Linked DNA regions of Saccharomyces cerevisiae S288C. The gene in region 1 interacts genetically with each later gene. Each region holds a gene or a part of one and is shown in the gene's direction. Other genes may lie near its edges. The genes, in order: SHM2, GLY1 and TBS1.

Evidence for each region.
Region 2: mutations in SHM2 (region 1) and GLY1 impair growth when combined (synthetic growth defect), as found in Saccharomyces cerevisiae (2 studies listed by BioGRID).
Region 3: mutations in SHM2 (region 1) and TBS1 together harm fitness more than expected from each alone (negative genetic interaction), as found in Saccharomyces cerevisiae (2 studies listed by BioGRID).

Annotation. Positions count from the first base shown.
Region 1 is NC_001144.5:257,052-262,058, reverse strand, and holds SHM2 (glycine hydroxymethyltransferase SHM2), read left to right. Parts: upstream 1-2,657; coding exon 2,658-4,067; downstream 4,068-5,007. Other genes in the region: FRS1 (phenylalanine--tRNA ligase subunit beta), read right to left, coding at 1-1,080; REX2 (Rex2p), read left to right, coding at 1,512-2,321; putative mannosidase MNL2, read right to left, coding at 4,204-5,007. UniProt on the Saccharomyces cerevisiae protein: Interconversion of serine and glycine.
Region 2 is NC_001137.3:66,558-71,205, reverse strand, and holds GLY1 (threonine aldolase GLY1), read left to right. Parts: upstream 1-2,413; coding exon 2,414-3,577; downstream 3,578-4,648. Other genes in the region: GTA1 (Gta1p), read right to left, coding at 1-728; IES6 (Ies6p), read right to left, coding at 949-1,449; FRD1 (fumarate reductase), read left to right, coding at 4,409-4,648. UniProt on the Saccharomyces cerevisiae protein: Catalyzes the cleavage of L-allo-threonine and L-threonine to glycine and acetaldehyde.
Region 3 is NC_001134.8:540,402-546,997, reverse strand, and holds TBS1 (Tbs1p), read left to right. Parts: upstream 1-2,504; coding exon 2,505-5,789; downstream 5,790-6,596. Other genes in the region: U4/U6-U5 snRNP complex subunit SPP381, read right to left, coding at 1-622; APD1 (Apd1p), read right to left, coding at 1,020-1,970; D-arabinose 1-dehydrogenase (NAD(P)(+)) ARA1, read right to left, coding at 5,977-6,596.

The DNA of each region.
Region 1 (5,007 bases):
AGCGGCATCTTCCATTATATCACAAGCGTGCAAAATATCAGGTCTAGTTACCGGAATGTCAACGTGCAAGATGTCCTTGTCTTCCTTTGATTGAACGGCATGCAACGACATCTTCTTTAGACAATGAGCAATTTCATCAGCGGATTGATCTAGGCCAAGACAGGAGTTGATGTACTTAATGGAGACATCCATAATTCTATCGTTGAAGTTTGGCGCCAAACGGGATTGGCCATTGTGTTCAGAGACAATTTCTACAGGCTCAACCGTGAATGGTTCGTCACAATAACGTGAGAACATTGTAGTTAATATGTTCAAAACGATCTCGGCTTTGGTCTTATCGGTGGCGGTTATATCAATCAAAATGTTACGGGTGTTCACAGAGATCTTCGAATGTTCACTATTGATTAATGGTGGCAGGGAGCAAACACGATCTTTGCTGTCCATAATAACTGGGAAGACTGGAGAATCCTCAATAATGTGAACGTATCTCCCTATGTTGTTTTTCTGTTCTGGAGATTTATAAAACTCGATCAATTTGTCACCAGTAAACTCTTGGGTTTGATTCAATGGTACGAACTTGATGTCCTTTGGTGGTAGAGCTCTGTAATGGAATGGACCTTCAATTGAATCTAAATCGTGAGTACCCATGGCAACCAAGCTTCTGTTTCTACATAGATTGGCATGTAATTTATCTTGCAAGGCAATAAAAGAAGCGTAAGATTTTTCGTTAAGCTTGATATTTCTCAATACAGCAGCGGTAGCAAAAGGTCTAATTTGCTCCGTTGATTTGTCGATGATCAACTTAGTGGTTGGCTTGCTTAATTTATAGTCAGGTCTTTCTTTACGTTCCAAGTATTCGTTCAGCGACTGTGAAATACCTTCGATACAAAGCAAATCGTAACGATTGGCACTGATATCAAGCTTCAATTCCGGCTCCTCCCCGGTTTTCAAGGCCTCCTCTGTGGTGTCTTCGTCCATTTCCATACCGAATTCAAAACATAATTCATCGAACTCTTGGGAAGTGTAGTTTTTGCCTAGAAGATCAAATAATTGCTGCTTGTTCACGGAGACGGTAGGCATGCTGGCTCGGTGTTATTGATGTGTGTTATGCTATTCTGCCCTATTTTTTGAACATTTGATCAACTCCAGGCTTTCGAGAAATACATTGAAAATTTTTCATTTCCTTCAATTTTCTTTCTTTTTTGGTACCGATTCTGAATAATCGGTCACCTCGTGTGTCGTGATAAATAATCAAGAAGATGTACTTTTATACAAGGGTTGTAGTCATCTGGGACACTCTCAGAGCACTGGCTCTGACGACAACCATCAAACGCATGCTCATACGTATAATTCAAGCCTTACATACACTGGTATTCCCTTTGGGGTGTTTCTTTTTCCTGTCAAGTTGGGCACTTAAAAGAACTAATAAAAAATCAGTGTGAACTTTTCGATTTGCAAAGAAAATGAAAAAAAAGAAAAGGAGCTTTCACAAATAAACAGAAGAGATCAAGATGAAGTGGTTGTTGTTTCCGGCAAGAATCGTAGCTCGCACTCGCCCAAACCTCTTCTCGCTGTACAGAAGATCCGTTTCACAGTACTTACGTCCTCGAACCATCCAAAACCTGCAATCAATGGCGCAAACACCCGAACTTAAAACCAAGCTGTTCAAACCCTTGGTCTGGATCGACTGCGAGATGACCGGTTTAGACCACGTGAATGACAGAATTATCGAGATTTGCTGCATCATCACCGATGGACACCTGGCACCCGTCAAAGCGGCCGATGGCCAAGGAGACTCGCATTATGAGAGCGTCATCCATTATGGTCCCGAGGTGATGAACAAAATGAACGAGTGGTGTATTGAGCACCACGGTAATAGCGGTCTCACCGCCAAAGTTTTGGCAAGTGAGAAGACTTTGGCCCAGGTAGAAGATGAGCTGCTCGAGTACATCCAGCGCTACATCCCAGACAAGAACGTTGGCGTCTTGGCAGGCAATAGTGTACATATGGACCGCTTGTTCATGGTCCGCGAGTTTCCCAAGGTCATTGATCATCTCTTTTACAGAATAGTTGACGTCAGTAGCATCATGGAAGTTGCCCGCAGACACAATCCCGCTTTACAAGCACGTAATCCAAAAAAAGAAGCTGCCCACACTGCTTATAGTGATATCAAAGAGAGCATAGCTCAATTGCAATGGTACATGGACAACTACTTGAAGCCACCACAGGAAACAGAGTCGGTCGAGTCAATCGGATCTGAACAGCCGGAGTCACCATCTTCATCTACCTCATCTTTGAAAAGACAACGCACCGATTTTTAATGTAGAAAAAAAAAAAGAAAAAAGAAGTGAAATTTTTCAAATATTTCACACACGAAACATGACTCCTGGTGAGAAATGACCCTTTCAGGTTGCTTTGACCATAAAGGTTTGACTCTATCTCTTGGGTTTCTCATGTTCGCTTTTTACTCTGTATAATTTTTAAATTCATAATCATCTTAGACCGAACCATGAGTCTTCTTCATCTTGTTTTATATATAATGCAGAACTTGCTTCCCTTAGTTTGCGTTCAGTAATCTTTCCTTCTTCTAGTGTAACCTTTACGAAAGATACTACCCCATAGCAAAGCATAACAGCTTAAACCGAATCCTCCTTAACATGCCTTACACTCTATCCGACGCTCATCATAAGTTGATCACCTCTCATTTGGTGGACACCGACCCTGAAGTGGACTCCATTATCAAGGATGAAATTGAAAGACAAAAGCACTCCATCGATTTGATTGCTTCTGAAAATTTCACCTCAACCTCCGTTTTCGATGCCCTTGGAACTCCATTGTCCAACAAATACTCTGAAGGTTATCCAGGTGCTCGTTACTACGGTGGTAATGAACACATTGACAGAATGGAAATTCTATGTCAACAAAGAGCTTTGAAAGCTTTCCATGTTACTCCAGACAAATGGGGTGTTAACGTCCAAACTTTATCTGGTTCTCCTGCTAACTTGCAGGTTTATCAAGCTATTATGAAGCCTCATGAAAGATTGATGGGTCTATACCTACCAGATGGTGGTCATTTGTCTCACGGTTACGCTACTGAAAACAGAAAAATTTCTGCTGTTTCCACATACTTCGAATCTTTCCCATACAGAGTTAACCCAGAAACCGGTATTATCGACTACGATACTTTAGAAAAGAACGCCATCCTATATAGACCAAAGGTTCTTGTTGCTGGTACTTCAGCATACTGTCGTTTAATTGACTACAAGAGAATGAGAGAAATCGCCGACAAATGTGGTGCTTACTTGATGGTAGACATGGCCCACATTTCTGGTTTGATCGCCGCAGGTGTCATCCCATCTCCTTTCGAATACGCTGATATCGTTACCACCACCACTCACAAGTCTTTGAGAGGTCCACGTGGTGCTATGATTTTCTTCAGAAGAGGTGTGAGATCTATCAACCCTAAGACCGGTAAGGAAGTTCTATACGACTTGGAAAACCCAATTAACTTCTCTGTTTTCCCAGGTCACCAAGGTGGTCCACACAACCATACCATTGCTGCTTTGGCCACTGCTTTGAAGCAAGCTGCCACTCCAGAATTCAAGGAATACCAAACTCAAGTCTTGAAGAATGCTAAGGCTTTGGAAAGTGAATTTAAGAACTTGGGCTACAGATTAGTTTCCAACGGTACCGATTCTCACATGGTTCTAGTATCCTTGAGAGAAAAGGGTGTTGATGGTGCTCGTGTTGAATACATTTGTGAAAAGATTAACATTGCTTTGAACAAAAACTCTATTCCAGGTGACAAATCTGCTTTGGTTCCAGGTGGTGTCCGTATTGGGGCTCCAGCCATGACCACTAGAGGAATGGGTGAAGAAGATTTCCACAGAATTGTTCAATACATTAACAAGGCTGTAGAATTCGCTCAACAAGTTCAACAAAGCTTGCCAAAGGATGCTTGTAGATTAAAGGACTTCAAAGCCAAGGTCGACGAAGGCTCTGATGTTTTGAACACCTGGAAAAAGGAAATTTACGACTGGGCTGGCGAATACCCATTGGCTGTGTAAAGAAATCACCACAACGACACTTAATCCCAAAAAAATAAACATTACTGTATAAGTATTCATTTTCTCCTCTTCTCATTATGTATATATGTACCTATATGTATGTATGTATGTGCGTACGATTTTTCTAACGTTAACTTCATTTCTTTTTGATTATGTGCCCTCCTTGAGTTAAGATGTGTTTGTCCAGGGAAACCTTGTCACCATCGCTGAATAGTAGCAAATAGTATTTTAATGTTCTGGAGAACCAATAGCTAGGTAAATCATTGTTCACTTTTTCACCGTTTTCATAAAATTCCTTTATTTGCCACAATCCTTTGGCACCACTGTTTAGTTCCATTAATTCTTGCATTAAGATTCCAAAAGACTGCTTACCCATGCTTCTCCATTTTTGTTCTCCACTGATTCTGTACATATAAAATATAGATTCAATGATATTCGAATCCAACAATCTTCTGGATTCTACCTTGTTGACCCAAAATGGCCAGTCTGGATGGTTTTTCCACTGAGAACCCATGGTATCGTCCGTTGTAATATGCGGTTTGATATCCTTACCAAGCGTAAAAACTCTACGTATTTGCGTTACTTCGTCGCCGTCTATTTCAGCAATCGATTTCGAGCTTCCAACAGTATCACCTTTTATGTTTTGAGTCTCTGTTATCCCATCTTTGCTTAGTACATTTCTCTTAGCTTTCTGGTCATTCCCACCTTTCCCATAATTCGAAACTTTGATCCCGACATCTAGGTCATTTTCAAAAGTTTCATATTCGCCGTTGGCAATCATTCGTGATTTAGTTTCGCCGTTAAACTCGCAATTCCCATTAGTCTCATCAGTGCAAGGGTCCAACTCGAATTTTTGAGGGAGCAGCCCGTCGAACTCCTCCATTAGCATAAAACAACTTTCTGTTATTATTTCGCTCATTTCCAATAGTGACGATGGTAA
Region 2 (4,648 bases), on another chromosome or scaffold:
AAAAGCGAAGTTTGTTGGGACAACACATCGTGTAAGTCCTCCTGGGCGCAAATCAGTATCTTTTTCAGATCATCGATGGAAAACGAATCCAAATCCTTCAACGTAGTCAAAGATGTGTAAGCGGGTAGATTTGAACCATTATTGCTGGTGGCGCTATTAGTAATATTGGATGAGAAAGTAGACAGGGAAACAGAGGAGTAGTGAGAGGGCAACGGGGCGGGTTCGGACTTGGAGTTTCTGGGCTGCATAGCTGTGGACGATGTGATGGTGTTTCTTCTCCATTTTCTAGTCTTTAACGCTTCATTCGCCTCTCTCGCCTTCGTCATACAGTAAATGGAGGGTAGCTTATTGATAAAGCCCTTGTTGTTAATCGTTATAAAATCTAACTGGTACTGCGTCTCCGCCTCGAGACCCGTGATGGAGCAGCATGTGTAAAGGGAGTTTGGGTTGTTTGGGAAGATAGCCAATTGTGTGTTATTCAGATACAACAAATAGTGGGAAATGAAGTTTCTATCCGCACTGCCATTGTCCTCCGCTTTTACAGGTTCGTTCTCCCAATGAATGGTCACTGAATCCGTGGCTATTTTGTCGATAGACACTTTTGTTGCCGGTGGAGTTTTGATCTTCAAAGTGGAGACGATGCTGGACACAGGAATAGTGAGAAACTTATAGAGCCTATAAGAGAGCCACAGACATGCTAAAACCGTGGTTATTACAGAGACTGGCATCCATGCATGTGTTGGTAGTCCTAGGTAGGAGCGTAATGTGTCTTTACACGCTTTCCATTAACAATATTCCTTTTTTTTTTTTATTATTTTTTTTTCACTTTATCTTGTCCTTTTTAGCTTTACTCTACACTATTTTGCATTGTCGCACGTGACCAGCGACAAACTATGTAAGTGTGAAAGGTTGTCTACAAGCTAAAATACATACATACATATACAATGCCTATTTTAGAACGAAGTTGGCCCCTCTCAATTTTAAGTACTCCTGATCGACGCCGGGGGCCATCGGCTTTACGATTAACTGATAGATTTCTGCGTTGTGATACCGAATGTTGTTCGTAGGCGACTTGTAGAAGCCCTTCAACCCAGTAACATCGCAGTACTTCTTGGCAGGCCTGATAGACGGTGGCGCTTCCACGCTAAAGTACGTCGCTTTGGGCACAAGTCGCCTAGCAGCAGTAGAACTCTCTGCAGCTTTGTTAGCCTTGGTCAACAAGGCGTTGATCCGCTTGTTTTCGTCCGAGATCAACTGCCTCGCTGATTTGTGTCTTCTTGTCGGTTTCTTGTAATGCGCCGACTTGAATCTAGAGGGAAAGCCAATTTCATTGCGTTCGCCCACGCTTCTTAGAAACAGCAATCTCTCGTCGCCCCCGTCATTATTATTGTTATTATTACTATTATTACTGACGCTACTATTGCTGCTATTGCCCCTACTACCGCTCATTGTTTCGACTTTCTCACGCTGATGATGATGACAATTTTAACCTTCCCCTAGGTCACAACTTTTTTTCCCTCGTTCGCTTCTTTACACTTCCATTCCTCACCGTCTCAGCGCGGAAGAAAAAAAGCACGCTAAGTAAACCCAAAGTAAGCTAAGCTTAACTAAGCCGAACCTGGCCTAGAATTCTCTCTAACTCATTCTTTCTTTCATCTACTCACTCGCCGAAGAACAGGCACAGACTAATAAACTATGCAACCAGAAGGTAGTCGTCGTCATCGATATTCATCGAATATGTGCGGCGACAGGGCCTTCCTTCGCACAGAGAGCCACACGGCACGCCGGGGTAGCTGTTTCCTATTTTTTTTACACACGGCCCCAAATTGTTATTACTATTCTTTTTTTCTTCAACGCAACCAATACTTCTTGTTGTATATGTGCTGACAAATCATGCCAGCGGCAGGCCTGTGCAGCACGTGACCCACGCTTGGCCCGCTATGAAATGTCACGCGAAACGGACCCTTGCCTTTTTGGCGACGGCACTTCCCCTATCTGGAAAAAGCCGAGCATGCACCCGTACCCCACAAAGCTTCGCTTCCGGTTTCCGGGCAGCAGCGCCGTTTCTTTTTTCCCGCTGCTTCGCCCTTTGTATTACTCATTGCGCACTTTTTCACTTGCCATATTCGTTCACCGGTTTTTCTTTTTATTTCTTCGTCTTTTTTCGTCTTTTTCTTCACTGGATATACGCTTTTTGCATTTGCAATAGCACATATGTGTATATATATAAGCAAGTGTTGAGCTTGCCTGTCAAATCCTCCATGTGTCCTTCTCGTCTATCTTGTTCTGTCTGGTATAGAGTAATACTTACATACATATACGTACATTGTTTCCGCTGGCTAGTTCGTAACCACCTCCTTTCCTAGGCTTACACTCACTTTTACTCCCGCACACAAACGCAAACATAAACACAATGACTGAATTCGAATTGCCTCCAAAATATATCACCGCTGCTAACGACTTGCGGTCAGACACATTCACCACTCCAACTGCAGAGATGATGGAGGCCGCTTTAGAGGCCTCTATCGGTGACGCTGTCTACGGTGAAGATGTTGACACCGTTAGGCTCGAACAGACCGTTGCCCGCATGGCTGGCAAAGAAGCAGGTTTGTTCTGTGTCTCTGGGACTTTGTCCAACCAGATTGCCATCAGAACTCACTTGATGCAACCTCCATACTCTATTCTATGTGATTACAGGGCTCACGTTTACACTCACGAAGCCGCTGGACTGGCGATCTTGTCTCAAGCGATGGTGGTTCCTGTGGTTCCTTCCAACGGTGACTACTTGACCTTGGAAGACATCAAGTCACACTACGTCCCAGACGACGGTGATATTCACGGTGCCCCCACCAGATTGATTTCTCTGGAAAACACTTTACACGGTATTGTTTATCCATTGGAAGAACTGGTCCGCATCAAAGCTTGGTGTATGGAAAATGGTCTCAAACTACATTGTGACGGTGCCAGAATCTGGAATGCCGCTGCACAATCTGGCGTGCCATTAAAGCAATATGGGGAAATCTTCGACTCCATCTCCATCTGTCTATCCAAGTCTATGGGTGCTCCTATTGGGTCCGTCTTGGTTGGGAACCTTAAGTTTGTCAAGAAGGCCACCCATTTCAGAAAACAACAAGGTGGTGGTATTAGACAATCTGGTATGATGGCTAGAATGGCTCTTGTAAACATCAACAACGATTGGAAGTCCCAATTGCTGTACTCGCACTCTTTGGCTCATGAATTAGCCGAATATTGTGAGGCAAAGGGCATCCCGCTAGAGTCTCCAGCAGACACCAACTTTGTCTTTATTAACCTGAAGGCCGCTAGAATGGACCCAGATGTCCTTGTTAAGAAGGGTTTGAAGTACAACGTTAAGCTAATGGGTGGTAGAGTCTCGTTCCACTATCAAGTCACCAGAGATACTTTGGAAAAAGTCAAATTGGCCATCTCCGAGGCCTTCGACTATGCTAAAGAACATCCTTTCGACTGTAACGGACCTACCCAGATTTACCGTAGTGAATCCACCGAGGTCGACGTTGATGGCAACGCTATCCGCGAAATAAAAACCTACAAATACTGATGCGTTCCAGTTGCATCATGTGTATTGTTAGGGTTTTTGTTTTAGGATTGCTACCCTCTTCCTTTTTTTCATACATTACAATAATTTCGTGGCATTGTAGATTTAACGGCTTTCTTTTGCATCAATGATTTTTATATTCAAATGGGTTTTTTCTTTTTTCTGTTTTGTTATTCAAGGATATTTCAACTCTCACACCATAATTATAACTAATTATGTCGGCACATTTGAGAACCAATGGTTAGTTTCCAGCGCACCTAGCGACTAACTACCCTATTATGGAGGGACGAAGGTGGTCTTTCTGAGGGAAGGAGGAAAAAAAGGTAAGAACCTCTTTTCTTTGTTCCCCATTGAGAGATCGACTGAATATGTTTGGTTTTTTTGGTACTTGATTAAAGTTTACAACGGTACGTATCCACGTGGAGAAGCACATTTCTTTGTATTCTACGATACTACGTATTAAGATTGAATGTACCCATGTATATTCTCGCAGGGTTTCTTCACAGGATTTCGACGTACACCTTTTATACAAATATATATATATATTTATATGTATGCGTAAGAGTCTAAAAAACGTTCACTTTAATTCCTTTTTTGCTTTTACTACTATTGTCTTTCTTCTTTCATTTGTCATCATGCAGTGAATGACTGAAACAATAGAGACAGGTATGAAAAAGAAAATTTTTTTCTTTTCAAACGGTAACGGGGGCAACGCGTCGCGTTCCTGAACAGCTTAATCTATTGCACGTATAAAAGCTGAGAACAATACGCTGACATAGCACCCCATTTTTTTTTCTTATCTTCACTTCAACAACCCCTCATCCGTAATTGTAAATGTCTCTCTCTCCCGTTGTTGTTATTGGAACCGGTTTGGCCGGGCTGGCTGCTGCCAATGAATTGGTTAACAAGTATAACATCCCTGTAACCATCCTCGAAAAGGCTTCCTCGATCGGTGGGAACTCTATCAAGGCCTCCAGTGGTATTAACGGTGCTTGCACCGAGACTCAACGTCACTTCCACATCGAGGACTCCCCACGCTTATTTGAAGATGACACCATCAAGTCTGCTAAAGGT
Region 3 (6,596 bases), on another chromosome or scaffold:
GTTTCGCAAGTTGTATTCTTCTATGCTTTTGCTTTCGTTCGTTCTGCCTTTCAAACCATTTCTGTCTCTCCTTTTCTGAATCGACTTCATCGTTATCATCTAAGAGCAAGCACTGCTTGATCAATTCTTCGTTGGTGCTGTAATTGGTGTTAAGTCTCAGCTTCATCGTTTCGTAGTTCTTTGCCACTTGATTAGCTTTGTCGATGTTTTTTATCATATTTTCCTTCTTTGTTTGCAGAACTCGTGCGTCATCTTGGGCATTCCAGGGTTGATCTATCTTGGTAGCTTTCTGCAAATTATTGGCCTTTTTCTTCATAAATAATGGCCTCGGTAAAGGTCTCATATCGTCACTATCGCTCGAATCACTGTTGTCGCTACTTTCTTCACTTTCGGGACTCTCATCACTTTCGGGACTCCCATCACTTTCATTTGATTCTTGGCCATCATTGGGGGTGCGGTTCTTTCCTGTACCATTTAAAATTTCGCCGCCCAAATCACTATGGCTTAATGAGGCTGATTTTTCTGTTAGAGATACGTTTTGGTCTGGATGCTCTTCATCCGCCGAAGAGCTTTCATCTGCTGAGCTTGTGTCAAGTCTCCTCTTGAAATGTCTAAAACTCATCGTATGTGATTCAAATCAGTAACCAAAAAAAATTCTTAATCTAGCGGTGGCGGTAGAAATCTGCATTTGTTCTTTCTTTACTGGGAACAACGAAGAATTGCTTTTCTCAATATATGGCGAAATATTGCATGTTTGCAAAAATTATAAAATGAAATAATGAGCAGCAAGTGGAAAACAGAAAAAAAATCAGATGAAAATATGAAATGGATTAAGAAAATGGCCAAAGAATCTTTCATGTATGGAAAGTTGAAATACAGGATCCCTTTTGCAAATAAAACTTTTCATTATCATCTTAGCGTTATAAATATATATGCGTGCTTTAGAACTATGTACATTTAAAAGCTACTCTGATGGCAAATTTTATGGCGTCAAAAGATTGTATTTTGCTGGCCAACCTTTACCAGCTTTGATATTTCTTAATACAGCGAACTTTTTCGGGAAACGGCAACGTTGGTTCTTCAGGAACAATCAGATGTTCGACAATAGAAGGAACTATGGTTGGAGTTACTCTTCCCAACCAAATTAAGGTATTTGGATTTCGTAAATAAATTTGAACATTTGCAGCAAATTTGTGACCACCAACATGATTAACAAATGCAATTTTGACACCCTCTGCCCTGTAATCCGAATTGTCCCTATACAGCCCATGTTCCTGTAATTTACTGTCAAAAACTTTCTTTAAATAGGGTGCCGTAATCCCGCATCGTTTATCCCTCGTAGTATGTGAACATATAAATACAAATGCACGTTCACGTGCAACGGCAACATTTGGTCGTGTTTCTAGCAATTTCTCTCTTGAAATATTCTCGTCTAATAAGTCAGGAACTAAACCATCCAGCGTTGCTTCGACGTCATCTGATCTAAGGTCGTTCAGCCAAATGAAGTAAGGCAAAATAAGTACATTATTCTTGGTTCCCCGCATAACATCAATATCCATGATATCTTTAGGTAAAGATGAAACTGCACAGTTTAGTGTCTTGCCTGTGCCCACGTTGGAAAATTTAGCTGAATTCTTATCACACCACTGGGAAATTTTATACTGTACTGACTTTGGGTCCTCGAGGCAGGCATCATGCTGCCAATCGATTTGAGAGGTGGGGACAACGAAGTGAATTTTTGGCGTTTTAGAAGAGTTCAACAAAGGAGTTTCATGTTCGATCTTTAGTTTCGCAAAGGCCTGCTCTCCTTCTTCAATTTCTGTTTTGCAATCACCAGAGCAGCTATGTTCGTTAGCAGCATCGTCACTTTTGCATATCTTAATCGATTGAGAAATTTCCTCCCGTCCCTTTGCGCTCAGTTGTGAAGCTTCATCACCACGTTTTTGCTTGAAAATATTCAAAAAAGCCATAATTCAAAGGACAAAGAAGATATCTCTCTCTTGGCCGCCTTCTTGCCTCCTCCGAATATAGCCAAGTACTTTCTTTTCTTATACCTCGAACAGAAAGAAAACCAGTATGTTATACTACTATTCGGTTAGAATTTCAACTTTGCGTTATCATCATATGATCTCAACAATATAAATAGAAGATATCATCAGCGCCAAGAGTGGAACTCTCCCTCTCCTTGCACTTGTTTTAAGAAACTTTTAGCCCTTATTTCCATCTTTATTTCCGCTTTTATTTCCGCAGCACCGGTGAACCCTCTTTTTTATACCTTCAGAATTTTCTTTGCACCTAAAAAGTTCAAATTGCCCTTTAAAAAATATTTATAATACCCTAAAGGGTCCACATTTTCATTTTGACCCTACTCCGCCAGAAAATGTTGATTTATCATGCCTATTTTCAGCCACTGCCCAAAGTCTACTTAAAATAGAGTAAACTTTATATTACGACTACTCTTTTTTAAGTTAACAATGATTACAAGCCCAGCAGGAGTTGTGTGAATGAATATGGATTCTGGTATTACAAGTAGTCATGGAAGCATGGATAAGACACAAAAGCAAAGTTCTGAGTGGGCAGCTAACCAGAAACATAATCAAAGAGTCGAAAATACAAGAGTTTTAATGGGCCCCGCTGTCCCTGCGATGCCTCCAGTACCATCAAATTTTCCGCCTGTTCCAACTGGTACAATAATGTCGCCTCAGTTGAGCCCTTTTCCGGATCACCGTTTAAGACATCACCCATTAGCTCATATGATGCCTGCTGATAAGAATTTTCTGGCATATAACATGGAGTCTTTCAAAAGTAGAGTGACTAAAGCATGTGATTATTGTCGGAAGAGGAAGATTAGATGTACGGAAATCGAGCCGATTTCTGGTAAATGTAGAAACTGTATCAAGTATAATAAAGATTGCACGTTTCATTTCCATGAAGAACTGAAAAGAAGGCGAGAAGAAGCTTTGAATAACAAGGGAAATGGGAAGTCGGTTAAGAAGCCGAGGTTGGATAAGGAGAATAAGTTCAAGGATGAAAATTTTGATATCGCCGTGCGATCAAGAAATACTTCTTCTACAGACAGCTCGCCGAAATTACACACCAACTTATCACAAGAATATATTGGAGTTTCTGCCGGCAAAAGTGCAAGCGATAAAGAAGATACTTGGCCTGACTTTGTTCCTATTGACAGGACAGTGCTTGAAAAAATTGAACTCAACCATACGAAGGTTGCTGGGAAAGTTTTTGTTTTGGAAGAGATTTGTAAAAACATGAAGGGAACAATAGAGAAGCTAGCTGAAAAAAGCAAAATTGACGTCATTGATAAAGAATACATGAAAAGGCCTAAAAGAAAGCAATATTCAAAGGCCTTGTTAACAAAACAAAAAATGTTTCATTTTCGACAAAATGTTTTATCACATTTAACTGACGAAGAATTTCTTTCGCCCATTAATGAAATGTTTACTACTACTTTCAAATATTCTATTTTACAGACCAAGCTGGTCCTGGACTTCTCTTTCCGATCCGCATCATCACCATCTAGTGATAATATTTTGTATCCTCTGCCCCGTTTAGCAATTGCAAAGCGTTTGCTCAAAAATATAAAATGTCCATCATTAGCCTCTCTTCTCCACATAGTGGATGTAGATCAATGTTTGCAATTTGCCGACGTGCACTTTGATCCTGCTAAAGGAAGATTGACATCATCACAGGCATTTTTGCTAAATATCTGCCTCTGCCTTGGGGCCACCGTTACAAATTTTGAGGAGAAGCAGGAGCTAGTTGATGAAGATAATCATGAAACCTATTATTTTGAGAAGTTCGAATTATGGAGACTCAGATCTTTCACTTTTCTCAATTCTGTCTATTACTACCATAAACTGTCTGTAGCACGCGCAGATATGACGGCATTAAAGGCATTACTGTTACTGGCAAAGTTTGCCCAACAAAAAATAAGTGCTTCATCAGCGGTCAAAGTACTATCCGTTGCTATCAAAGTGGCTTTGGATTTACGGCTCAATTTACATTCCACCTATGAGGATCTAGAACTTGATGAAATCATTAAAAGAAGACGCTTGTGGTGTTATTGTTTTTCAACAGACAAATTCTTTTCTGTGGTGTTGTCAAGACCGCCCTTTCTCAAGGAGGAAAACACTGATGTATTAACAGATGAAAGCTATGTTGAACTATTCAGAGATAAAATTCTGCCCAATCTTTCTATAAAATACGATGATTCAAAACTAGAAGGGGTGAAAGATATTGTATCCGTTGTAAACTTACTCGCGAATCACCTTGAATATGTACCATACATTCAATCATATTTTTTGTCGAGATTATCCCTCATAGAGTCTCAAATATATTACTCATGTTTTTCCATCAGAACAACTTTAGACGATACACTAGATGAAATCATTGAAAATGTACTGGAAAATCAAAAGGCGTTAGATAGAATGCGAGACGATTTGCCCACCATATTATCATTAGAAAATTACAAGGAAAACATGAGGATTTTATCTTTGGATTCTTCGAAGTTAGATTTTGAAGTGAGTTGTTGTACTACTATTCTATTACACCTCAGATGGTACCATCAAAAGATAACCCTGAGTTTATTTGTCATATCCATCATTGGAGATAACTTAGATCAACGGGAAAGTTCCCGGCATGATATAGCTGAAATTATTAGAAGGTCAAGATTGGATTTCAAGCGAAATTGCATCGAAGTACTTAATATTTTGAAAGATTTTGAATACTACCCTACTGTTCAGAATGAGTTTCTGTATTTTTCTCTCACAACGGTTTTTTCCATGTTTCTGTATTTGTCAGAGATTATGGTTAATGACGAACATGCCATGGAGACTGGTTATATAATTGGATTATTGAGGGATACACATACCCGTATGCTTGGATCTGAAGAACGCTGTCTTTCAGTACACAATCTGAAGTGGCAAACATCTCTTTTTTTTTACACTTTTTTTCTACGGAGTACGATGGAAAAGTTCAATCTGACAAGTAAATACGCAAAATTCTATGCCTTTGATTCAAATTATTATGAGGGTGTTCTCAATAGGTTAGTTAAGCATACGAGAGAATCAAAAGATGATATGGTCGAGCTCTTGAAAACTTCGTTCATAAATAAAGAGAAGATGGCTGCATTTGGTAGTTTCGTTACAGAGGACCAAGAAAAAATGGAAGTGTCCTTCAATATTTTCAATGAAATAACAATCCAGGATTTGAACTTCTTGCAATTTTCAAGCATTCCGAAATTGTGGGAAAATAAAACTCTTGAGCCAGGCGAGGAATATCATCATAGTAATGGTACCAATACTGATAATAACGAGACTACTGGCGCTGATGATACTGACGATAATAATAATAATAATAATAATAATAATAAAAATGGCAATAATAGTAGTAGTACTATTAATAATAATAACAATAACTACAGTAACAGTAACAATAATGACAATGACAACAATATTAATGATGATGATGATGATGATGATGATGATGATGATGATGATGATGATGATGATGATGATGATGACAATGATGATGATTATAGTAATAATGGTGCTGATGATGATGAAGAAGACGATGACTATGACAGATCTTTATTTCCAACAGGTTTAGCTTCGCTGCTTGATGCGTCATATCCTGAACGTACGGCGAATGATTATAGAGATGAGAATGAACAATCGAATAAATTATTCGAAAAGATTGAAGGCCATTTGGAGCACGGTGTTTTTTTTTACGATCGGGATTTCTTCTTCAAGAATGTGTGTGTAAAAATGTAATATTATATAAAGGACATTCGAGTAATTTAACTAATACATATGCATACGCGCGCGTATGTATTTCAGATACTTAAAAACTTCAAATCACGTATGAAAAACATATTGTTTACTTGAGGCGATTACACAATATCTTGTTTTTGACAAGATTAAGAAGCGAACTAAATAAAGTGAAAATAAAGTCGTTGTCTTAATACTTTAAATTGTCCAAGTTTGGTCCGTTACCAGTAAACTCTGGAAGGATGGCTGCAAATGGCTCATCGATGAATCTCACTGGGTATTTTTCACCGAAGTCGTTCAACTCTTGTAATTCATCCTTTGTCAAAGATGCGAATTCAATACTCGAGGAAATCCTAACTGGATTCAAGGATCTCGGAATTACGATAGTGCCTTGTCTAATATGGTAAGAAATTAGCAAGTCATTTCCTGTGACATTGTACTTTTCGGCAAGCTTTTTCACTAGTGGGATTTTCAAGTTTGGTGCGCCATGGGAACCTAATGGTGAGTATGCTGTTAACAGAATGTCGTGCATAAAGCAGAACTTTCTTAGTTCCATTTGTGGTAAGTGAGGGTGAGTTTCCACTTGGTTCACCGTTGGCTTAACTCTGCATTCCTTAATGAGACGTTCCAAATACTCAATGGAAAAATTTGAGACACCAATGGCTCTCACACGATGATCGTTAGGATCAAGGTAAATTTTTTCCAATTGCTTGTAAGTTTCTAAATAGTCACCGTCGGCAGCATACATTGTTTTTCCAGAATCATCAACCGGAGTCTTCACCAGTCCGCTGATCCCCTTAGGGTCCTTAA